3 linked regions of the Neurospora crassa OR74A genome follow. The protein of the gene in region 2 purifies or fractionates together with the protein of the main gene of each other region. This does not show direct contact. Links are inferred from orthologs where the notes say so. Each region holds a gene or a part of one and is shown on either strand. Other genes may lie near its edges.

Region 1 (7,833 bases), on a different chromosome or scaffold from region 2:
TGCCATCTCTTCTCCCAAAGCTCCCTCCTCGCCCATCCCGCGAACAAGAGTCGAGAGAGTAGACGACAAGCCGGCGTATGGAGAGGTCCCGGGGACCAAGGCGTATTCTATGAGGGAAGGGGACGCGAAGCCGGATGAATTTGCCATTATCCCAGACCCAGACACCAAGCTCTCGACCGAGGAGCATGACCAGCGCCGGCCGTCCACTCCAGGCGGGCGCCCCATTCCCATGACCGTAGTGGAGGAGACGCCAGATAGCACTGGTGCCGTCACCCACCATGAGATCGAAGCGAGGCACAGGGTTGACAGTCCTCCCGACGTGCTTGTCAAGGCGGATGGGCAAAAGGTCGAGCATGAGAAGGGTGGTGACAATGGTACGGATGCGTAGCACTTCTTTCTAGCCACACACACACGCGCGCGCACACACACACACTTTCACAAGCACATGCCTGTTTGTTTGTTTTTTTTTGAGCCAGCAAATTATACAAGATCTCCTTTGTATTGACTTTACGTTTTCCTGCGTAGATACACCAATACCACCTGCATTAAAGAGTCCCGCCTCGATCCATTCTAGAGACTCGTCATCTGATCTAGACCAGCCATCCCCTGACTCGCCCTCATTGGGGCCCAGTCTTCTAGAAAAGGAGGAGGCAAAAGATGACGCGCACGACAATGTCGTACGAGACAACGCCAAGACCGCCGACGACGAAGACGCCGATGAAGATGAATCCAAGAAGGAGGAGGAGAATGTAGAGGTCAAGACTGAGCAGGCTCAAGATGGAGAGGTGGAGGACGAGAAGCACGAGGAGGAACAGTCAAAAGACCGCGACACCGAAGAAGCATTGAAAGGAGACGAGTTCGAGGATGCCAGCGAAGAGCTTGAGACGCAAGATACAAAGGAAGAAGACACAGAGGACCACTTCGACGAGGCAGAACCCAGTCAAGAGAACGAGAAGAAGGTCGAGCCAGAAGAGGACAAGAAGGACGATGTCAGCTTTGACCAGAAAGAGGAGAAGCCTGTTGAAAAAGATGGGTTCGACAACGACGACGACGACGGATTTGCTGAAGCAGGGGATAAAGCCCCCGACGATGACGGGTTTGGTGATGACGACTTTGGGGACGACTTTGCTGAGCCAGCTCCGGCTGGCGCCGATGACTTTGGGGATGACTTTGACGACTTTGAGGAGGGAGCCGAGGCCAACAACGATGCTGACTTTGGCGACTTTGACGATGCCGGCTTTGACGACGATGACTTCCAAGAAGCCGAAGGGTTCTCAGCTCCAGCACCTGCTCCTCAGCCGCAACCACAACAACCGCAGTCCTCATTATCCTTCGTAAGTCCCCAACCCAGTTACTCCCTCTACGTCCAACACACACTAACATATCCCCTAGCAAATACCCGACTTCACCCACCTTTCCGCGTCCGAGATCCTCTCCCTCACTTCCCCTTACCTCAACGCTCTCTTCCCTCCCTCCCCCGACACCGACGGCGACGACTCCTCCTCCTCCCCCATCCCCACCCTCAATGTCTCCAACGGCATCACCGACCCCATCTTCCAACACCCCCGCTCCGCCTCCCTCTGGTCACAGCTCGTCGCCCCTCCCCCACTCCAACCCCCCGACTGGATCCGCTCCCGCATCCGTCGTCTCTTCCTCGTCTCCCTCGGCGTCCCCGTCGACCTAGACGAGATCCTCCCCGCTTCCAAACAAAAGAAACTCGTCTTGCCTTCGTTAGGCGACCCCGACGCAGCAGACGACGAACGCACAGGTCGTTCGCGACGCGCTAGCTCTGCCGCCGCTGCCTTCCGCAACAACCAAAACAGCCAAAACCTTACCACTACTTCGACTTCGAATTCAAGCCGCAACCCATCCAAGCAACCACCCGTCAACAAAACCGTCGCCGCCGCCGCAGGATCAAACACAGAAGGAAGCGCCAACCGCTCTTCCAGTTCCGCTAGGAAGGGACCACCGCCCGAACCGGTATTCGACCTAGTGGCTGCCAAGCAGCTGTGCGAGACGACGGATGAGGCGCTTTCGGGGATGACGGACAAGGAACTCAAAGAGCATGTTCAAAAATTGGAGGCGATGCAAGGGGTGGCGTCCGAGGTGTTGGTGTATTGGCAGCAGAGGACGGATGAGAAGATTGGTGATCGGGAGGCGTTTGAAGGGGTGATTGAGAATCTGGTGAAGCATGCAAGGAAGGTTAGGAAGTAAGTAAGTAAGTACGTGAGTACATAAGTCGGGGTGGGGGAGGTGGGTGTGATTGGGTATATATATATGTGAGAGTGTGGGTGGTTGGTTTGGTTGGGGATCAGGGAATGGAGGGGGGAAAGGAAAAGGATGATGATTATATTCTATTCTTCTATTCGATGTACAGGAGGTGATTACTTTGATAGACTGAGACTTGTTATAATATCAGGTGTTGTAATTAGCGAAGGACAAGAAGGTTTTTTTCGGGTGTGGTTCAGTTTCAAAAGGGGGAGGGAATTGTGATAGGTATGATAGACTATCAGGTCTAGAAAGAGAAAAATGAATAGAGTTACGTACGGATACATACTCGACTGTGTCCCATGAAGAGTATTGTTAGGTATATTCTTGGACTCTTTCCATCTATCCGAGCCATTACCATAGCCTAGTATAATGGTAAGATGGTCATTACGTCGAAGACTCATGGCGGAATCAATGTATTTATCTTCTCTACTTCACTCTTTCAAGTTTACTCTTATCATCACCACTGGCTAATAAACTCAATCCAAGTACGTCGGACCTTGACAAAATCAACGTAATGGCATCTTCTCTACCTCTACCACTACTTGGTAAACCCAAAGTACGTCGGTACCAAACATAACTTTTTGTACAAAAACTCCTAATGGTCCGATAATGCGCTTCTCTTCACGAGTTCCTCTTTTCACAACATTCCTCGCTCATCTTCTTCAACGAATCGTATGACCAGTCTTTCTACTGTCCTCGGCCCCAAGTTGGATAAAAATAAGACCATGTACAAATTTCACAAGGCTAGTTTTTAGAAACACAGGTCCCGGTTTCCCCACGCTACGCCGTTTCCTTCCGTGTCCGCGCCCAAGTTTCCATTCTTTGATCATCCTCCAACGACTTTTTGGATATTCATCATTAGAGCAACCAAAAATTAACAACCTTTTAATTTTCCTCCTAATCAAGCGATGTATAAACTTTGGATATTTTCTGGTCGCTCGCTTAAGAGGTAGAAGGCTCGAGGGTGACACCGCTGTTTTTTTTGTTAGTGGTTATTCAGTGGTGATAAGTTATGGGGTAAAGAAATAGAAAAGAAAAAAACTTACGCAGCAATGGTAGCCCAACCGATAAGACGCCAGTGCTTCTCGATACGTCTGGAAAGGGCAACCTTCTCGCCGATGCTCGTGCAGGCAGGGGAGGTGAGGATGAGCTTGGCGGCATCCTTCTTAATGGCGGAGACCTTGGCACCGGTGGAGGTGGAACCAATGTTGACCATGATGACTTCGTTCTTGGCAAGCTTGTCGACCTTGGCCTGCTTGCCGTCGGCGGTGCGGACACCGAGAAGGCGGCGGAGGAGGTAGAAGTTAACTTCGATCTCGGAGTAGATTTCGGGGAGGCGGCCCTTGAGACCGAGGACGAAACCGACCAGACGATCGGCACGGCAAAGGGTAGGATCGATGCGGGTACCAACACCAATGAGACCACCGGGCACGGCGTACTTGAGGTCGTTGGCCTCGGAGTTGAGGGAGACAATCCTGCTGAAGATGGGAGTGCACTTGAGGTCGCCCTTCTCGTCACGGGTGACGATACCGGGACGGATCTCAATCTCGTCGCCGAGCTTGAGGACACCGTGGAGAATGGAACCACCGGCAACACCACCCTTGAGCTCGTCGATCTCGGCACCGGGCTTGTTGACGTCGAAGGAACGAATGACAATCATCTGGGGGTCCATGGAGAAATCCCTGGGAGGAACGGGGATGGTGTTGACGATGGCATCGTTGATGGCGTCAATGTTGAACTTGAGCTGGGCCGAGATGGGGATGATGGGCGACTTTCCGGCAACGGTACCACGGATGAACTTGAGGATGGACTCGTAGTGCTGCTTGGCGGCCTCCTCGCGCATGAGATCGACCTTGTTCTGGAGGATGATGATCTTGTCGAGCTTCATGATCTCGATGGCGGCCAAATGTTCGGAGGTCTGGGGCTGAGGGCAGGATTCGTTTCCGGCAATCAGGAGGAGAGCGGCGTCCATGACGGCGGCACCTGAAAGCATAGTGCTCATGAGAATATCGTGACCAGGGCAGTCGACGAAGCTGGGAGGAGGAGACACATGGTCAGTCATTCATTGGCGCAAATGATGTTATGTTAAACAACTTACGAGACATGGCGCAACAGACGGTAGGTGCCCTCGCAACCCTCGCGCTCGCAAGGGGGATCAACCTCCTTCTCGGACTTGTAACTCCTGTAGCATGTCGGGCGAGGGCATGCTGGGTTGTCGCACTTGTAGATCTTTGCGTTGGCGTAACCGAGCTTGATTGTGATGTTGCGGATGAGCTCGTTCTTGAAACGGACCGTCTGGACGCCCGAGATGGCTTTTACTACTGTCGACTTGCCGTGGGCGACGTGGCCGATGGTGCCGATGTTGATGGTGGCCTGTCGCGCAATGATCTCGGGGGTGAGGGGGCTGAGGGTCTTGACGTCGAGGTCCTTGGGATCGGTCTGGGGAGGAAGGGGAGGTCTCTGGACGACGGGGGCGGGGGCCTTCTTGAGGGCCGACTTGCGCGGCTTGGCCTCGACCTCGTTGTCGGACTCGTGCTGGTCGACGTGAGACTCGTTGTCGGAGCCCGAGTCGGACTCGACGATGTCGTTGCCAAACTTGTCGCCGTTGGTAGCCATGATTGTGGATGTGGGTGGATGGAGGTGAGGTGTGGAGGTGAGTTAGGTTGGGTCGTCAAGTCGATGGATGGATGTGTCGCGGGGCAGTAATTTTTTCGCTTTCGGTGAAGCAACCCCTCTTGCTGTGTACTGTGTAGTGGGTGGTGTATGCCTGGTAGTTGCTGTGTACTTTTCTAGACCCTGCTCCTTGGTGTGGGTATGTATGTGGGTGTCCTACTGTCTCCGCAACGGGACTCGCGATATTTGTGATAGCGGACGTTGTTGGTGGACGGTAGAGGTAGTAAAACTGGACCTGCCAAAATAGTGGGGTTACAGCGAAGGTTGGAGGAAGGCTGAGAAGAAAAACTGCCTGCCTGGTGGATGACTCTGACGATATTTGACTTGTATTTGGCTTGTGCTAGGTCGGTATTTTCCTGTGCTGCCGCTGCCAGCTGCGACCAACAAGGCGAGAGCCTCACACATTCCGCTCTGCGAACCTGCCCTGCGTGCGCCCAACCCTTCCCGCCTTTGCCGCTGCCCCACTAAGCACGGTTTTCGGTTTAGCCCGACCGTCGCCTGCCCCACAAGGGCCGATAAGAGCGCGATAAGGACCAAGTAAGTGTAGTGCTAAAGTCCAGAGCTCAGTCACGGTTCAGCTTCAACATCATTGAGGTGACTTTTGGAACCTCTCTCCTATCAAGAGTTCGCCATCTACACTTTTATCCAACCCTCTGTCCCGTCTGTGTCGGCAGAAACTTACTCACAGCGTACACGGTAACTCAACGCTGAGAATTATATCAACTGAACGTTGAGAACGGGTACATTGTATCGATCGGCGAGTTGAATCCGGTTTCTTTCTTTGAGAACAATCGTTACTCTGCAACGGCCTCTCCCATTGACACCGGCATCCTTCGACGTACATACAAACGTTTCCGGGTCGATAAGCTGATCCATCATCAACAACGCCGAGTCTGCTTGTCGTCGTCAACTCTGAGGAGCACCCACGATGCTGGTCATGGCCACAGTCTCAACTCTATGAAGCTTGGTTAAGGGCGTCATCAAAGTCGTACCTGCTGCCAATGCCTGACTGTGGAGCGAAAAGGTAGGACACGAGGTGTCTTCTCCTGGATTCGACCCTTTCCCGTCAAGTTATTCGATATCTTCACGAAAGGTGAGGCTCATCGCTCTTGGGATAATAAGGGTTCAACTAGGGCTCAGTCTCGGGATAATAGCGCTGTGAAGAGTTGAGCCAAGTGGCCCGAATGTTGTCCTCCGTGATCTTGGACTGAGGCAGGGAGTAACTGCAACAGCTGTGCAAGCGTTACAGGATCATGTTATGTTTTGAGTGTATTTTGCTGGGAATATGCTCGATATACATCAAAACTACATCGGCCACCAACACGCTTCTCTCCCGGCCCCCAAAACACGCCCAAGCCCTTGTTTCACATCCAACCCAGATGCTTGTTGGATCGGAATCGGGAAGATTCCGGGGCCAAGACCTGTTCAACAGCGCGTACAACCGTCTCTGATGGTTCGAGAAGCAGTCTAGTAGGATTCAAGCCACAACCGATTCACAGCAATGACTATTGGAGCGGGGAGAAGACTCAGCCGGTTACACGAGACATATCCGCTTGACCGCTGAATGGCCGTCAGTCACGTCCATAACCATGCTGGGAGCTTGATCATCGCTGGGTTGGGGTCAAGAAAAATAGCACGGGAGTGTCTATTCAAGTTCATTCGGGCTGAGACTGGGCAAACGGACCAAACGATGAATTCACAACTGGCATGGCCGAGCCACTCCTATTAATACCTTGTCAGTTCTTCTTAAGAGGCGCACTGCTGAGGATTTGTCTTCTGCAATGAGCTTGGTAATCATCGTTTCACGACATGATGTGGCCAGCACTACCTACGGCACCACTCCCCAAAATGGGAATTCTTGCTGAGCTCGGATTTTTCTTGTCAAGTCATCGAACCGCATCAATGGTGCCATGGGCGATGACTTGCAGCAGCCGAACAGCGTGCTTCCACCGAGCCACCGAGCCACCGAGCCACCGAGATGACCGAGAGAGCGGGTAGGAATATAACGCAGAACTGGCTGTCCATTATGGTTTTGATGGCGATATCACAACGGTGGTACTGAAGCCTTAGTACACAACCTCCGTCTCGGCGGGCTAAAAATACTAAACCGGTGGCAACACCCCCAAGTTGATGTGCTAAATACTGGCACTTCCATGATACTCTGTGCTTACGAACACCCGATGGAGGGCGGGCAATATCTGTGTGCTGACAAGTGCAGCACAAGGTAACCTCGCTTCCAGGTGTAGATACGATTTTTCGTCAGAGTTGAGGACGGCATATAAGTTGCCAAGCTATCTATGGGCGGAAACTCGTAAGCTGAGATGTCCGAGTTGGATAACATATTGGCTGTCAAATGCAAGTCCAGAACAAGGACATCACTGTCGCGGACTTGTGACCACGGCTCTGATATTCAAGGTATTGATCTTTGCGAGTCCAGAACATACACCCAAACACCACCAGCCTTGTATCGTCTTTCCTGAATCAAGCTCGTTGCATAGTCCGTCTTACACTCACTCAGCAGCACTGCATCCGTCCTAGCGGTGTACATGTCTTGGTACCATGCCATGTTGTCCGCTGTGTTACGGAACACCGACGTCGTTGTTCGTCGCTGTTCCAGAGGGACCCCGCTCCCAAATAGAGAAAAGCGTGAAGAACACAGAATAGCTGGAAAGTCGGGAAGCAGAGACCACACGTGTGATGGTGTGACATTGACAAGTCTGAAGAAGCCGCCGGGTTGCTGAAATCCCCGCCTTCACCAGCCCTTGGCTTTCACATTAATGAACATGGTCAACTGACGATGCTGGTCGGCAAGTATAAAAGATTACTGTGTCCCCGGCGCGTGATTCCCGCGCGTTCCCGCGAAGTCATGGTCAAACATCACACTCAGAA
Region 2 (7,794 bases):
CATTGCCCTGCATGGGTATATGCAACCCGCATTCTCTTCGTTTCCAACTACCACCATCACATCACCGCAGCGCCAGAGTACTGTCTCTTGTGTGGCGGTGAGTACCCAAACCAGGAACTTTTGCGCCCTGATCGACACCGCATACCGAACCACATATCCAGGACTTGACACCGCCAGGGTTGGCTCCCTCCGAAGCAATGTCTGAGCCACATCATTATCATCATCATGACCAAGGGGAGGAATTCGAAGGGGCACCCTCGCGACAGGAGGCGGGCAGGTTAAATAAGAGGGACTCGAAGCTTGCGTTGAGGAACTTGTTTCACAGAAACAGATCAGCTACCGAAGCCGAACGAATGTCGACTGTCGCTCCCAGAGATACACCAACGAGGTCCGGAGGTCTGCGCGCCTCCATCGCCAGTGTTAGCCACTGGCCCTATGGACTGCATAACGATAATGGCCAAGCCCAGCGGTCCGACGTGACGTTATCCGGGTCCGCGGCCGGATCTCCTCTCGCATCTACCTTCCCGGCCCAAACTTTGAAACACAAGAAATCAGCAAGTGCAGTGCGTGGGCACGCATCGCCTAGAGCATCAAGGGGATCCCTGGCTGCCTGGGATCCACCAACCCTTTGCCAAGTTTATCCCCAAGCCATCAAGCAAGCCCGTCTTCCTGCCTGTACCGCTTCAGCTGAGGCTATACTCAGGCTGCATCAACACAAGGGCATCTTCTCGATTAGCGACGCTTTTGGATCAAGCTCAACAACAGCTGCAGATGGGGCAACTCCGTCGACAGCAGGAGCTGACAGGTCCGAGAGAGGGAAGAGGAAGCACCGCCGCAATACCTCTGGATCGGTTGCCCTCAAGTTAGACTGGACGACCAAGTTTTTCGTGCTTATTTCGGGATACTTGCTCCAATACACTGGGGATGGGCCCTTGGACCGTCTGCCGGAGAAGATCTTGCCGCTCGGAAAGGACTCAGCTGCCTTTGTAAGCGATGTTATTCCAGGACGTCACTGGGTATTGCAGATAACCGCCACAGCCGATTCGGACTATGCCGCCCCAGCATCTCACGCCAGCTCATTGCTTTCCCGGCTGCCTTTTCGAGGTGACAAAAGGCAGGCCTCCAACCTTTTGATGGTATTCGAGAACGCGCCCGATATGGAGAGTTGGTTGGCCACGCTTAGACGCGAAATCGAAGGCCTCGGAGGAAAGAAGAAGGTCTCGGAGACAGGAAACACACATTTCGACAATGAGGCTTCAGAGCTTCGAAGCCAGACGAGCCAAAGAACTTTGGTAGTTGATGATTACGTCGGGACCATGTCTGGTGATGCGTGGGACGGACGCCAGAGCACCTCCAATCTGGATATTAATATGGACTTCACTGAACGAGGTCAGTCCTTTGACGAGGCTGCGTCCACCGCTAGCGTAATCTCTCATGATGGTAGACAGCTAGACGGACTTAGGGACAGTACTCAGCGGTTTTCATATCTGTCGTCCGGGCAGCGTACAGCCCTCACGTCAGCTGGGTCATCACCAGCATGTTCGCCTATTCACGACTCTTTTGCAAACCTTCAGGACTCCATTCCAGAGCTCACCGCCCTTGATGACCAACCCCGACCGCGACCAAGACCGAATGCAGCAGCGATCAGTGACAGAAGACAGTCTCTGCAGACGTCGAATCATCTCCTCGAAATGCGTCTCGCCGCCTCTCATCCCCTCTCGAGTTTGAGCACGTGGAATTTCGATCCCAGCAGCCCTTCGAGCTCTAGCAAACGATCCAGCCAGCGTTATTCGCTCACTAGGTCAACAAAATCCCTCCCGGAAGAGGAAGTTGAACCATCTTCTCCACCTCCTCCGCTACCTTGTCAGATGCGCGGCGGTTCACGGAGACCCCCGCCCTCGGCTCTGTGCCTCAACTCACGCCCGCTCTCTTTTGTGGTGGATCAACCGTCGCCTGAATCGCCGTCGCTTGATAGGAAAGGTGTTTCAATCGAAGTAGCTGATGAGACAGCACCGGAACCGGAGTCCCTTTTCTCGTCTTGGGGATTGCCGGACGCAACCAAGCAACGTTGTGACAGCGGCGAGGACTGGGAGAATCTCTCTCCCACACAACCTGTCACACATGGTAGCCCTGAAAAGAGGTCAGGCTATGCTCCTCCATCATCAGTGGCTTTCCAAGACATGCTCAGATCCACTCCGTCCGTCGGCGATTACCCAGGTAGCCCATCGAAGCGCGCCGATAGAAGATTTAGTCTGCAGTCTCAGCTGTCAGAAAGGTCAAGCGAACCTGATCGCAGTTTCCTTGATCTGAGTGACCTCGGTGACGATCTCGGCGACCTTCCCCAGATATCTTCAACTTCACTTTCGAAGCAGGGCTCGAGACCCGCGCCCCATTTTAGGTCTTTGTCGGTTGCCAACGGCGGCTTGGGTTCGCGACGGAATAAGACACAGCTGGCGGAAGGTCCCCCACCTGCTCCCCCGCCGAATCGTGCCCTTCCTCCAATCCCGAGAAAATCGTCACTTCAAGTCTGTCACTCAGCATATTCACCTTGAGCTGTGATTTGCATTTACTCGTATCTGGCGCCATACCATCATTCAACGCATCGCCATTTCTGGACGTCTAGGAAGCACGACCACTGAAGTTTCCGAGTATCTGTCAGCGACAATACTTGCAGAGCAAAGGGCGCCTGGGGATTCAACTGATAGAGATAAACCGCCATCGAACCGCTGATTGACTCCGTCACCATTTCCTTTGTCTCTCTTTTTTCAAGGTCGGGTTCAGTCGAAAAACAAGATACCGGTTAGATGGATGGAATAAGGATGCAGGAAGCAAGATACTGGATACCCAGGTGATGAGGGTACATTTATACCACCGGCGACATCCGGAACGTAACGTGTGAACGATCTCCTTTGTCAGGTCGATTTGGTGCGGGATTTGTCTTTTTTTGCCATATACCTTGTATTATGTAATGTTGGGGTACCTACTGTGTATGTAGGTGATTAATTGAGGAGGTGAGTGTGGTGGGCATGAAGGGCGGGGTGGTTTTCGATTCTCAATCGGAGGAGGGGGGTCACAGAGTCAGAAGAAAGCTGGTGCCCGGCAGGCTCCGTGGCCAACTTAGATAGCAGTGAGTTTAGAGCATCAGATATGGATGCTTGGAGAAATCTGAATCGAGTTCAAACTCTCAAACTTTAACCTCGGTGCCAGCCATCAACTTGCAAACAAAGGTACCTACTATGTACAACACGTCCTGGTGTCGAGAGAGTTGAGCTAGCTCCATGTTGCGGCGCCGCGCCCTGCCCCTGGTAGGCCTGGAGGAGCAACGTTCGGGTTAGGGTTGTGATGCCTGTGATGCCCCCACTAATGGATGCGAAGTGGAAGCAACCCAAAGCGGATAATGAAAGAAGGGGCAAAACACCTCAACGTATACGTCTGGATGCGACCAGTCCTGCTTTGTCAAAGAACGAAGCTTCGTTTGTAGGGAGCCGTATTGGCTGTCATGTGCGAATCTGCTGCCTTGATATTGTACGTAGGATAGAGCACCGTTAGCTGCCAAACAGGGCTGATTTCCTGAGTGAAAGCCGAGTCAGCAAGACAATTTTTGCCCCACACTCAAATATCCAAAAATTCCCACCTCCAAAAAATGGGGGGGAAAACTGCCCTGGCTTTTCAAACTTGAGCCCCACCAAAAATCGCCGCCAAACCAGCGCAACGTCAACCCATCGCGACGACAACCCACGGCCATTTCAGTCATCCACCGCACCCATCACCAGACGAGCCGAACCTGCGGAATCAAAACAACCACATACTGTCAAGATGGCTGCCGTTCAACAGAAGTCAGTACTCCTCCGCTTGCCTCGACAGCAAACGCCCGTCTGCATCCACGCCCCCGATTCCCCCGATTGCCATTTTTCCGGCGTGCTTCACAACCCAACACGTATGCATTTGATTTCTCGGAGAGTAAGAGTCTAACATAGTTCGCGACCATTCAGGCACGACTGGGCCGACGATGACGAGCTCGAGGAGACCTCCACCGAACTCCCGCCCCCTCAGAAGATCACCAACAAGGATGGCAGCACGACCATCATCGAGTACCGCCTGAACGACAACGGCCAGAAGGTCAAGACCACACGACGCATCCGCTACATCACCCACCGTGAGGTCGTCAACCCCCGCGTCGCTGAGCGCAAGTCGTGGACCAAGTTCGGCCTTAGCGTCAAGGACGGCGCCGGCCCGGCCCCCGACACCACCTCGGTCGGCGAGAACATCATCTTCAAGCCTTCCTTCAACTGGCGCCAGGAAGCCAAGGATGAGAGCAAGGACCCCAACGCCCAGGCCATGAAGGACAAGTTGAAGGACAAGAAGGTCAAGTGCCGTATTTGCAACGGCGAGCATTTCACCGCCCGCTGTCCCTACAAGGACACCATGGCCCCCATCGGCGAGGCCGGCGCTGCCGCCGACGTCGCCGCCAGTGCTGCTGACGAGGCTGCTGCCGCTTCCCAGGGTGCGGCGGGCGCGGGCAAGAAGGGCTCGTACGTGCCACCTGCGCTGCGTGGTGCCGGTGGGGCCGCGGCTGCTGGAGAGAGGATGGGCGGCAAGTACGGCGAGCGCGACGATCTCGCCACTCTCAGAGTTACCAACGTACGTTTGCCCCTAGTGTCCCCCAAAAGGACGCGGAGGAGGAGGAGGAGGAGGAGGTGGTGGTGGTGGTGGAGAAGAAGAAGAAGCAGAAGGAAAAGGGAAAGAGGGAGTAGGCGACAGACTTGCAAAAGCTGCTCTGTTCTGCTCCTAAAGAGGGGTTATTATGACGGGACTGATTCGTGCTAACATGTTTTCTACGCTTAGGTCTCCGAGATGGCCGAGGAACAAGAGCTTCGCGATATGTTCGAGCGGTTCGGTCGCGTCACTCGTGTCTTCCTTGCCAAGGATCGCGATACGGGTCTTGCCAAGGGCTTCGCCTTCATCAGTTTCGCTGATCGCAGCGACGCTGTCAAGGCTTGCGCCAAGATGGACGGTTTCGGTTTCAGACATTTGATCCTTAGGGTTGAGTTCGCGAAGAAGGCTGCGTAAACTTAATGGGTCTTCTAGACGGACGAGGAGGCGGAGGAGAGGGAGGAAGGGGTTAGAGGAATGATGGAAGAAGCAGCGATGTTTTGGTCCCTAATGCGGTCTGCACAAGGAAGTGCGTCATCAAAATGGGAAAGGACTCTTTGATACTACTATTACTTGATCTGGTTCCTGTCTCTTCTTGCTGTGGGGGTTCATACTAATGGGGAACAAGCGGCAAAATTTGTCATGATCGAGAGATTTCTTCCGCCTTTTAAGCATATCGGGCCAGGGTGGCCAGGTGGTTATAGTTGACTTTTGTTACATGGATGACGGGCTAACTCCAGGTTGAACAAGATCGGTGTAATAGACTGGCAACATGCCCGGACTACAGGAGCCCAAAACGCACCGAAGCTCTTCAGAATACAGTGTGGTCTTCTTGTCGATTCAGGGCGCATGCCAGTGTTTAAAACAGCTGACAGCCTCTCTGAACTCTTGAATTATTATCAGTGCATTTATCTATCCCGCTGAACGTCCCTGGCATCAAACATTATATTACTTGGTGACAGAATCTGTTATGATGTCCTATCATCAACTCAACCGACCAATCGCAAAGACCGTAAGTTCCTGAGCTCTCTCAAAGCAGCCGGCACGTCCCTTCATCCTCTTCATCTTCCTGTCTCATTCATCTCATCACCGTAAAAGTCGTTCATCCCTCCGCCCTGCCCTCATAAATCATGAAGTCTTGGAAGATGTCGACAAAGAAAAATGGCTGGTTGCCTATAAGAGAAATAAGAAACAAATATCACTCGAGAATGAAATGAAAAAAAAAAAAAAGGGGGGGGGGGGGGGACATTCGGCGCAAAGAAACCTCAGCAACAACACCATGAACACACAAGAACAATAGCCTCCCGCCCATCATAACCCCTACACCTTCTCATCCCTAGACCTTCTTGCCTTTCCCCTCCTCCTCCTCCTTCGGTCATGATCACTCTCTCCATCAGTATCATTCCCTTCCTGCCTTTCCTTCTCCTCCTCATCGTCATTCTCGCTTCCATTCACCTCTTTCAGGCATGTTCCACCCTCCTCTTCCTCCCTTTCCCTAACCCCCCATACCTTTCTCCTCCCTCCGCCTTTTTTCCTCTTCCCAATCCCCCGTCTTTCCTCCGACTCCTCTCATCATGTATACGGCACTCTTCTAACCCACCCCTAGCTCAGCTCCACCGCCAACCTTAAGTGGCTCCGCGCCTGCTTGAAATGAGCGGCTGCTTTCGACTCTGTTGGTGCGCGCTAGGGTCGTCCGCTTGCGTGAGGTATAGCAACGTTCGGCGCGTTGGAGCTGGAGCTGGAGGGATCACTTAGATGGGAGAGCATCATGATGGACAAGGACACTGCGAGAGAGAGAGAGGGGAGTGGAAAGTTCAAGAGTTAGAAAAAACCACCCAACTGAGTGTATATATACTTGAATGTGTAGTGAGGTTGTTGGTTCGATACTACCTGGACGATTCTGAATTCATGCGATGTCTTGGCGTACTGGTCCCCTTTGGCGCAGAGTGACTGTTGTCACACTCTGAAGGCCGTTAATTGAAGTCTATCGATTGATAGGCGGTGGGCATGAACACCCAATCAAATTCTATATCTGCATGTGGTTGTGGTGGTCAAAGCATCATGTCGACTGGTTCCCTCGATCCGTTCCAGAAGACGACGCGTTCTTGCCATGAAATCGAGGATCGCCAGGCACCATGCATCACCATTGGCCCCCTTGCGCAAACAGCTTCGGTCGGGTCCCAAGGCCGTAGTGCAGAGAGAAATGGATGGGAAAGGATCTGTGATGAAAATACTTCAACTAAAGATGTCGGCGATGTCTGCCGATGGCAGACTGACGTAGTGTAGTCCTCCCCCGGTTGTTTCGAAAGTTGTTGAGGTGGAACCTGAATGTGAAGACTAGGTGAAGAGAGGGTGGAGGGGCATACATGCTACACTACACTGTAACAAAGATATGGGAAAGCTCGTCACTTTGATGACGTTCTGTTAGTAATATCTATGGCATTCCAAAGCTTTACCAGCCAATCATGTGAACTGATACTAACAGATAGTGATCCCAGATACACCAAGACGTTAGGGCGTCAATGGTGTGTAGGTTAGCGTATCGACAATTGCGTATTGGCAGCTGGTTGTCATCTCCAGGTCCCAATTTCCAGCCTCAAACCATGGAAACTATCATGTCCACCCTCAACTTCCCCTCCTCCTTCCTTTCCGATACAACCTAGCTCCCGGTGGGTTTTCTGACGAGGCGAAGACCGGATTCTCGCTCCGCACAATAAGCGGGTTCTAGGCCGTATTTACACTACATACCTCTATGCTTTTTATCTCTCCAGTTCTCCTGTTTGCACTGCCATAGAGATGCTTCCCGAATCCTCTCGACAACGCAAGCTCGGCTCTATCATCCAATTGCAAAGACACAAGCCCGGGATCGCTCAACAACTGACTGCACGCCTTCGGGTCTTCACGCACTGCGCATACCGTGTCCAGTGTCCTATTTCCCGAGTGGGCGACCCCCCGTTTCCCGGAAGAGCCGCGAGCAGTTGTTGGTGAAGAAGTCACAGAGGAGGGGAGCACGAGAGAAAAGAGGGGCGTCGACACTCCAGCAAGACAAGGATCTTCCCTGAACCCACATGAGTTTGTTGACTTGAGAAGCACGATGAATTGCATGTGAAGATGGGCTTCCCACTCTGTTCATTTGTCTAG
Region 3 (7,740 bases), about 2.8 Mb from region 2:
AAGCTTATCGATTGGCTGCATGGGGGCTAGGACCCTTGCCAATCGCAACGCCCATGCACTAACAGTTACCGAGGAATCCCTGTAATCCCAAGGTTAGCGTCATTGACGCACTTTTGACGGGGACCTGGACCGGCAGCTTTTTCAAACTCCAGGTTCTTGGTCAGAGCAGGAGCACCATCATATGTCATTCTAGACTCGGCCCACCACCAAGCAACAACATCTGATTTTCAGCCTCGAGGACCGACCATGGATACGGCACCGAGCTGTCGTCATCACCATCGTCGCTGAAAACATAGGAAAAAAAAAAGGAACAGGTCGGTCCCTTACTCGGTCGACAGTATGAATTTCAACAATGTCTACTAGCGCTACGACGACCCAGCTGGGCCGCCAGCTATGGTCTTCAGTACGAGATCTTCACACCACCTCGAATCTCTTCACAGCCGCGATACTGCTTCCAACTTGTCAGCCATTACTGAGTCGTCAAAGTCTTGGACTTGGCCCCTCGACATCGCTGGGGTCCCATCAGCGATACGGACAGCAGCAGAGCACGCGACAATTTACCTCTTCCGCAAGTCGCTTTTTCTTCCCAGCAACAAAATCGCAAAGACTACACTATCAACAGTCACAACCATCCCATAATGTCCTACGAAGCTGTACCTCCGGAGGCCTACTCCTCCTTGGGCTCACCACCAGCCCCTCTCCAACGAGCACGGTAGAGGCATCCGCACTATCCGGCAATGCCGCGCAAAAGGCAAAAATGGGCCACTTGGCTCGGCAGGCTTTACTCTTGCGAAGGATACGACAGAACACCACGACCACAACGTTATGCAAGACAGGAAAGCGATTCCAAAGTTCGGGCAAAGAGACCAAGGGTGATCATGACGAGACCAAGGCCGAAGCCAAGTCTTCTACAATTTCTCCTCAGCAAAAGTCCGAGCAACCACAGCAGCCACCGAATACCGAGACGGCTTCCGGTTCTGGTTCCCAGCCGACTCCCGCACATGAATCAATAGCAGATTCCATGTCTAAATACCTTCACCTTCCTCACCTCCCCCATTTGCCTCATCGGCCCACAAAAGAAGAGCTTCTGGCGGCAGCAAGCGGGTTCTGGTCGCGTCTCAAGGTCCGATTCAAGTGGTTCTCCATCAGGAGCATGCGCCCCTGGAACGCCGACGAATGGGGAGCGTTTGTGTCCTTCTTCTTATTCGGTCATTTGGTCTGGATTCTTGTTGGCACAACTACCTTCTTCTCCCTCATCATCCTCTTTATCAACACGGTGTTTGCCCAGGAAACGCTGGCCAAGTGGATCGGAGACTACCTGACCCAATCTGCTGGCCTTACTGTTGTCTTCGAGTCGGCTATTGTGCCCAAATGGGGAGATGGTGTCATCACTTTCCGCAATGTTTTCGTTTCTCGGAGACCTGGTCAGCCCAAGTCTTCCGTCAAGAAGGGTTCTTCCGAAGCTGCGGCCGAAGCTGCTGCTGCTAAACAAGCCGCCGAGCAAGAAGGCACTGCCGTGGAAGAGGACGATGGCAATTACACACAGTTTGACGTCACTATAGACACCGTGAACGTGGCTTTATCTTTCCTCAAATGGTGGAACGGAAAGGGTCTCCTCAAAGACGTCGAAATAAAGGGTGTTCGAGGCGTTGTTGACAGGACTTCGGTTGTCTGGGGCAACGAGGACCTCAACCCCCTTGACTTCAGACAGGAACATAACCCTGGCGACTTTGAACTGGATCACTTCAAGATGGAAGACTTGCTGGTCACCGTCCACCAACCGGGCGGTTTCCGGCCCTTTTCCGTTTCCATCTTCTCCTGCGAGCTGCCTCAGCTACGAAAACAATGGCTGTTTTATGACTTTTTGTCAGCAAATCACATGTCCGGATCATTCGATGGATCACTATTCACCATTCATCCCAGACAGATCCACGGTGTGTCCGCAGCAGATAACGGCCGTCACCACCAAGACGAGTTCGGTTCTCCCTCGGCCTGGAAGAAGTTCTCCCGACTACGGATTGATGGGCTGAAGATTGACCACTTGAACCGCGGTGTAGAAGGACCGTTTGGCTGGATTTACGAAGGCAACGTCGATATGATTGCCGACATCATGTTCCCTGCGGATCCTGAGGAGGGTCTAAGCAAGGTTGTCGCCGAGTTTTACGACAAAATGGAAGAAGCCGTAACCAGCAACCGCTACCTCAAGATTCTAGACGGCAACATTTCTCCCAACAGCCGAAGCAACACCAACAGCCCCACCCTCGAAAGCGGGCCAATTCCGGAATCTGCCTCTGACATCGACCTCACCGGCCACCACGACGAGCTCCCCACCTCGGAGCAGCACTTCCCCCCCTTGATCCCTCCCGCGACTCCCAAAGAGCCAGCCCCGATTGAAGAAACTCCCTCCTATCTAGTCATGGACCTTCGCATCCACCTCAACGACGTCCGCGCCGCTGTCCCTCTGTTCAACAACCCACACATGAGCTACGTGAACCAAGCCCTAGTACGGCCCATCGTCGCCTACATCAACGCCAAGCGCACCTACATCCCCATCAGTTGCCGGATCGTAAAGCGGCTGACGGACTTTGACGGAGCTTGGACCGTTTGGGACTGTGGGCTGATGGACGATATGAGCGCCGAGGTGTACCGTGCTTTTGCCAGAAACGTAGAGGATCAGCAAAGTAGGGTGAGGAGATTCAAGCGCGTGGGACTGTGGACGGTCAGTCTCGTGGTACATGCGTTGCTGGCTGGCGTGGCGGGAGACTTGATGTGAGCCGTCATTGGATATGACACTGACGATTATAGACTTTTGCCTGTATTTTATCAGGCGGGTAGAGGAAAAGTCTTGTTTTGTGACGATATGGGGTTGTGTTGTACTATCCTTTTTTCTCTCTCTCTTCTCTACTTTACTTTACCGTGAGGGGGTTACCATACCTTTCCAAGCGGTATTTCACTGTACTATACATACATCAAACATACTTATATGGCTCTGAAAAACAGGAGCTCGAAGGAACAGACAGGCAGGCAGGCAGGCAGGCAGGTTATGGTTATGAACAGGAGGGAGGGGATTTGAAACTGGTTTACGCTCTTAATGACCCGGACGGATCGAATTACTGGCTGGAATCATATGAATGCGGGAGGCGAGGTGTTTTGTGTGCCCTGGTTTTGTTGTCAGTGATGATGGTTGCTCAGGGCAGATCAACATCGCGATCGGAGTTTTAAGTGTTTTGATTAGGGTACAGCAACATTGTCTGAAAAGTTCACATGGTGTTCATGGTCGGGAAATATCACCTGTTCACTGGTGTAAGTTTCTGAGAGGGTTCTGAGATGGTGACTGAAATAGTGTTGGTTGTAATTTTAGCCATGGCATCGATAAGAGAACCTCACACCAGGATGATATGCAGCCTGGACTTTCGAAACGTGATGCTCGCCTTCATTATTGAATGCACTCTAAATCTACTTTCCCCCATGCTATATGGTATCTGCTGCCTTTTCCCGTCACCCCCAAGTCGCGACTCGATCAGTGCCCCAAGAGGCCATCCTCCTTTTTTCGTCCAGTCTGGCACTGATGACGACTCTGATCCCTCATGCATCCATCCAAGACATCATGCCACTGAACCTTACGTCCGGACGGCGGACGTGCCGTGACCGTTGCGCGGGTGTCGTGGTAGTCTACGCTTTCTTTTTACGCCATGAAACACACGCAACCGCTACTTTTTTGCTTCGCTCCGAATGCTTCCCGGGTGAGATGAGTATTATACCTGGTGAAGGGGATGATTCTACATCCCTTGATGGGAAGAGGGACTCGAGGCCTCTCTTCCTCACAAAGCGAACGATTGTGATTTATCGGTAGAAATCTTTCACATGAAGTCATCACTAGAGCGAAACGTTAGCAATCGTTCCCCACGCGTATCTTTTCTCACTCCACCTCAAGCCAACTTACTCTCCGAAAGCATCATCATCATAAGTGTCGTGGGCCTCAGCAATGGCACCACCACGACCAACACCAGCGAGCGAGGTCTTTGTCTTGGCAGCCTTGCTCTTCTTGCCACCCTTTTCGGCAGCCTTCTCCTCCTTGAGCTTCTCGTTGCTGAGAGCAGTCAAGGTGCTAGCAATCTTCTTGATCTCGTCGCTCTTGAGGTCCTTGGCGAGCTGCTTGGAGAACTCCTGGAGGAAGAGGGTGTAGTGCGGCTTGGGCGAGAGCTTGCCGATCATGGGGCCAAGAGTGGTGCGGAGGGTCTCAAACTGGGTCTTGGTGGTAGGGTTGAACAAGGCCAAGGTCGAGATGTCGATGGTGTTGTTGGGGTCCTTGGGGTCGATCTGGACAATGGTGCCCTTGCTGACGACCTTGCGGTCGTTGCTGATGCCGATGCCGGCAAACAGGTCCTCAGCGTGTTTAAGATCGGACTCCTTCTGCTCGCGGCGGAGGCGCTCGCGGCGCTCGGCCTCGGTCTCCTCCTCCGCGTCCGAATCCTCAGCCAGCTGGCGGGCGCGCTCGGCCTGACGCTCGGCGATGCGCTGCGCCTTGGACTTCTTGTTGGCGGCGGCTTCGGCCTCAGCCTTGGCCTTGGCCTCGGCGGCCTTCTTCGCCTTCTCGCGCTCTACCTCGGAGTCCTCGGCGGCATCCCACGAGTCGAGAACGTCGCTCTCGTTTCCCTCCTCATCGTCGAAGCGGCGGCGGCCGGGGGCAAGGACAGGCGAGTTGGGGGCGGAAGACTCCTCCTCTTCCTCGTCTGTGGTGATGAGGGGTTAGTTAGTCTGGGTTTCGAACAGGTTGTGGTGGCGCAACAGGAAAGTCGATGCAAGAGTTGGTTCTGGTTGATCTGTATATATAGGCTGCGTCGCTGAAGTCCAATTCGCCTCAAACATGGAAGCCTCGAGGCATATGGCAATGTTAACAGCGTCTATCGCAAGCCGGCGCAGGCATCAGGCAGCCTTGTCACGGCGATCGCGGCCGCCCACTTTCGCCGACATACACTGTTCGCGGGGTTCGTCTTGCGCAAAGAGGGAAAAGGCAAGGAGAGCGAGGAAGACTTACCCCACTTCTTTCCAGACATGTTTGCGATTTGGTAGTGACGATCTAGAAAACCGAACGGGTCTTTGCGACAACGATGTCTGGCGCGACGAGGAAAAGTTTGCGTGCTGTGGTTGGTTGTGTCCAAACTGCAAAAGAGAAGCCGATCGCAGTCTTGAGAAGTTGAAAAAGCGAGCAGGGGTCAGCCACCTTGAGTGTGGTTCCGTTCGCAGTGGGCAAAATAACTAGGTATTGTTAGCGGGGTTAGAAGACCAACAGTGAAACAGCAACAGCGTTTCACAGGTTCTTCAAGGTTCTTTAACGTCTAAGATTTTAATACAATGCCAAAACTGCCAGGGAAAAGGGCTTTGTGACCAATTGGATTTCATTGAGAAGATGCCCGATGAAGATGAGGAGGAAAACCAGAACCTCCAGACGCCTGGGGCGGCTAGTCTTCAATACACAGGAATCGTCCCCATTTATTCCTCCCGTTTATGTTTTACCAAGCACCTGACTTCCTCGTACGTCTTGCTTGCTACCATCCCTTCTGAATAACCACTTCCTTCCCATCTTTGGTATATATCAATGCCTTCCCTCCAGAAGGCTTTATGCGGGGTCAGTGCTGTGTCGCACGGGCCCGTCAGTCAGGGTCGGTGCTGAGTCCTGACAAAAACCATCAGTTCGCCAACATGCCCGTCTTTATTTCCCTTTTTCTTTTCTTTTCGTTCTCTTATCTTTTAGGACATCTTGTATATGCACGATGCATGCACCATATATGTACGGCCTCGGTCAAGCAGCATGTGCTAGGTGCAGCAGGCCTAGAAGGATGGCTTTTTGGAGAAGTCTGTTAACGCATGTGGAGAGAATGATTCATAAACAACTAGGTGGATGCTAAAGCTCTGCTCTTTCACCAAATGTTCTGGACCAGGAGTCACCCGAAAATGCCCTGCGTCGTCAATATTTTGTACACCACTTCCACCCCGCTTCCGACACGGGATAATATTTGGACACTTGCAATTGTTCCTTCGATCCTACACTCTACGAATAACTACCACTGACGTCACAGCAAAGTTAGAAGTTTAACATGAAGCCATTCGCAACTTATGGCCCAAGACATTTGTTTGTATATTTGCAGGTTCGGAAGCAACCAAGCCATTGCTCAGTCATGCTGTGTGTCCTATGAGAACAAGTGCGACTGGTGTTCCGTTTCCCTCCGCTCGCTATTACTGTCAGCAAAATCTCCAACACATAACTCGCCCAAGTGCCCTGTCAACCAACCAACCAACTATCAATGATCTCGAAATCTCCTGTGGCTGTCTTTGTGTTGAGTCACAATCCCCCAGTCTTAGTGTACTTGCTCAGGGGCTCGCTGTTCTTCTGGATATGTACAAGGCTAATCCCGAGAATGTTGCGGAAGTGGAACTGCGCCCTATGGCTTGTCACCCGGGAGGTCCCGACACCGCCAAACAACGACATCCAGCTGACCACCACAATCGATGCCCGGTTGCCACTTTGAGGATTCAAAATGAAATTTTGTCCTGGTTGAAGATCTGGAGCTTTCCGGGTTCCTTTCGCTAGCGCCCGCTATTTGCTTGTTCCTGGATTGTCTTGATGTTAAAAAATGGAGATTGCTTGGGCAGTGTCGGAACTCTATTGCTCCTTTGAGACCAGGGACGGACAAACTCGGTGTTTTCAGTCAGCTCTCGTATTCCAAATTTTTCCCTGAAAGGAGTTGCAACTGGGGGCAGGAAAGGACGATATAAACGTCCCGTGTCTAGTGCTGTCCGACACATATGGACCATCATCACAAACCTCAAGCGAGTTCCATTACAACTTCACATCACTCCCTAAACTCTCGATGAACACCCCCAAAGTAAACATACTCCACGCTCCAGGACAAGCGGCCCAACTAAGCCGTGCCCTGATATCAACCTGCCATACTCGGCCTCTCCTGCTCGCGGGCTCTCGAGTGGCCACTTCCTTACATCCAACACAGACGAACCTCTCTTCCCCATCACCTCGCAATCTCTCGACAACAAGCGTTACTCGACTGAAGGATTTCTTCCCGGCCAAAGAGACCGCCTATATCCGGCAGACACCACCCGCGTGGCCTCATCATGGATGGACAGAGGAAGAGATGACCTCGGTTGTTCCCGAGCACCGGAAACCCGAGACTGTGGGCGATTGGCTCGCATGGAAACTCGTACGAATCTGTCGGTAGGTAAATTCCAAGGAGGGTTCCCATATTGCCCCTCAAGTATCTTGCGGACGCGGAAGCAGACGTAGATTCAAAGTGTTCTAATATCAAACAGATGGGCCACTGATATAGCGACGGGCATACGTCCAGAGCAGCAAGTTGATAAACACCACCCGACGACCGCCACCAGCGCGGACAAACCTCTGACCGAAGCCCAATGGGTATGTTCTATGGAGCCCTACGAGGACGGAATGGCAACACAAGCTAACCAAATGTCGCAAATCCATATAGCTCGTCCGCTTCATCTTCCTCGAATCCATCGCCGGCGTTCCCGGCATGGTAGCCGGCATGCTCCGCCACCTGCACTCCCTCCGCCGGCTCAAACGAGACAACGGCTGGATCGAGACTTTACTTGAAGAATCGTACAACGAGCGCATGCACCTCCTCACCTTTATGAAGATGTGCGAACCCGGCCTCCTCATGAAGACGCTCATCTTGGGAGCGCAGGGCGTCTTCTTCAACGCCATGT

What was found.
Region 1: the proteins of NCU08046 (region 2) and NCU02810 purify together in Saccharomyces cerevisiae (affinity purification with western blotting; 3 studies listed by BioGRID, with this or other methods). This does not show direct contact. The link is inferred for Neurospora crassa OR74A from reciprocal best matches to the Saccharomyces cerevisiae genes TIF35 and GCD11.
Region 3: the proteins of NCU08046 (region 2) and NCU07954 purify together in Saccharomyces cerevisiae (affinity purification with mass spectrometry; 5 studies listed by BioGRID, with this or other methods). This does not show direct contact. The link is inferred for Neurospora crassa OR74A from reciprocal best matches to the Saccharomyces cerevisiae genes TIF35 and HCR1.

Annotation. Positions count from the first base shown.
Region 1 is NC_026501.1:9,045,133-9,052,965, reverse strand, and holds NCU02810 (eukaryotic translation initiation factor 2 gamma subunit), read right to left. Parts: upstream 5,302-7,833; 5' UTR 4,888-5,301; coding exon 4,370-4,887; intron 4,305-4,369; coding exon 3,318-4,304; intron 3,245-3,317; coding exon 3,214-3,244; 3' UTR 2,754-3,213; downstream 1-2,753. Other genes in the region: NCU02809 (hypothetical protein), read left to right, coding at 1-374, 526-1,334, 1,393-2,214. UniProt on the Saccharomyces cerevisiae protein: As a subunit of eukaryotic initiation factor 2 eIF2, involved in the early steps of protein synthesis.
Region 2 is NC_026504.1:4,016,704-4,024,497, reverse strand, and holds NCU08046 (eukaryotic translation initiation factor 3), read left to right. Parts: upstream 1-3,429; 5' UTR 3,430-3,499; coding exon 3,500-3,525; intron 3,526-3,581; coding exon 3,582-3,836; intron 3,837-3,992; coding exon 3,993-4,641; intron 4,642-4,845; coding exon 4,846-5,070; 3' UTR 5,071-5,584; downstream 5,585-7,794. Other genes in the region: NCU08047 (hypothetical protein), read left to right, coding at 198-2,552. UniProt on the Saccharomyces cerevisiae protein: RNA-binding component of the eukaryotic translation initiation factor 3 (eIF-3) complex, which is involved in protein synthesis of a specialized repertoire of mRNAs and, together with other initiation factors, stimulates binding of mRNA and methionyl-tRNAi to the 40S ribosome.
Region 3 is NC_026504.1:1,228,641-1,236,380, forward strand, and holds NCU07954 (hypothetical protein), read right to left. Parts: upstream 5,302-7,740; 5' UTR 5,058-5,301; coding exon 5,039-5,057; intron 4,734-5,038; coding exon 3,944-4,733; intron 3,877-3,943; coding exon 3,861-3,876; 3' UTR 2,774-3,860; coding exon of another isoform or gene 353-2,773; 3' UTR 151-352; downstream 1-150. Other genes in the region: pod-1 (mitochondrion biogenesis protein), read left to right, coding at 353-2,773; aod-1 (alternative oxidase), read left to right, coding at 6,873-7,231, 7,327-7,432, 7,503-7,740. UniProt on the Saccharomyces cerevisiae protein: Component of the eukaryotic translation initiation factor 3 (eIF-3) complex, which is involved in protein synthesis of a specialized repertoire of mRNAs and, together with other initiation factors, stimulates binding of mRNA and methionyl-tRNAi to the 40S ribosome.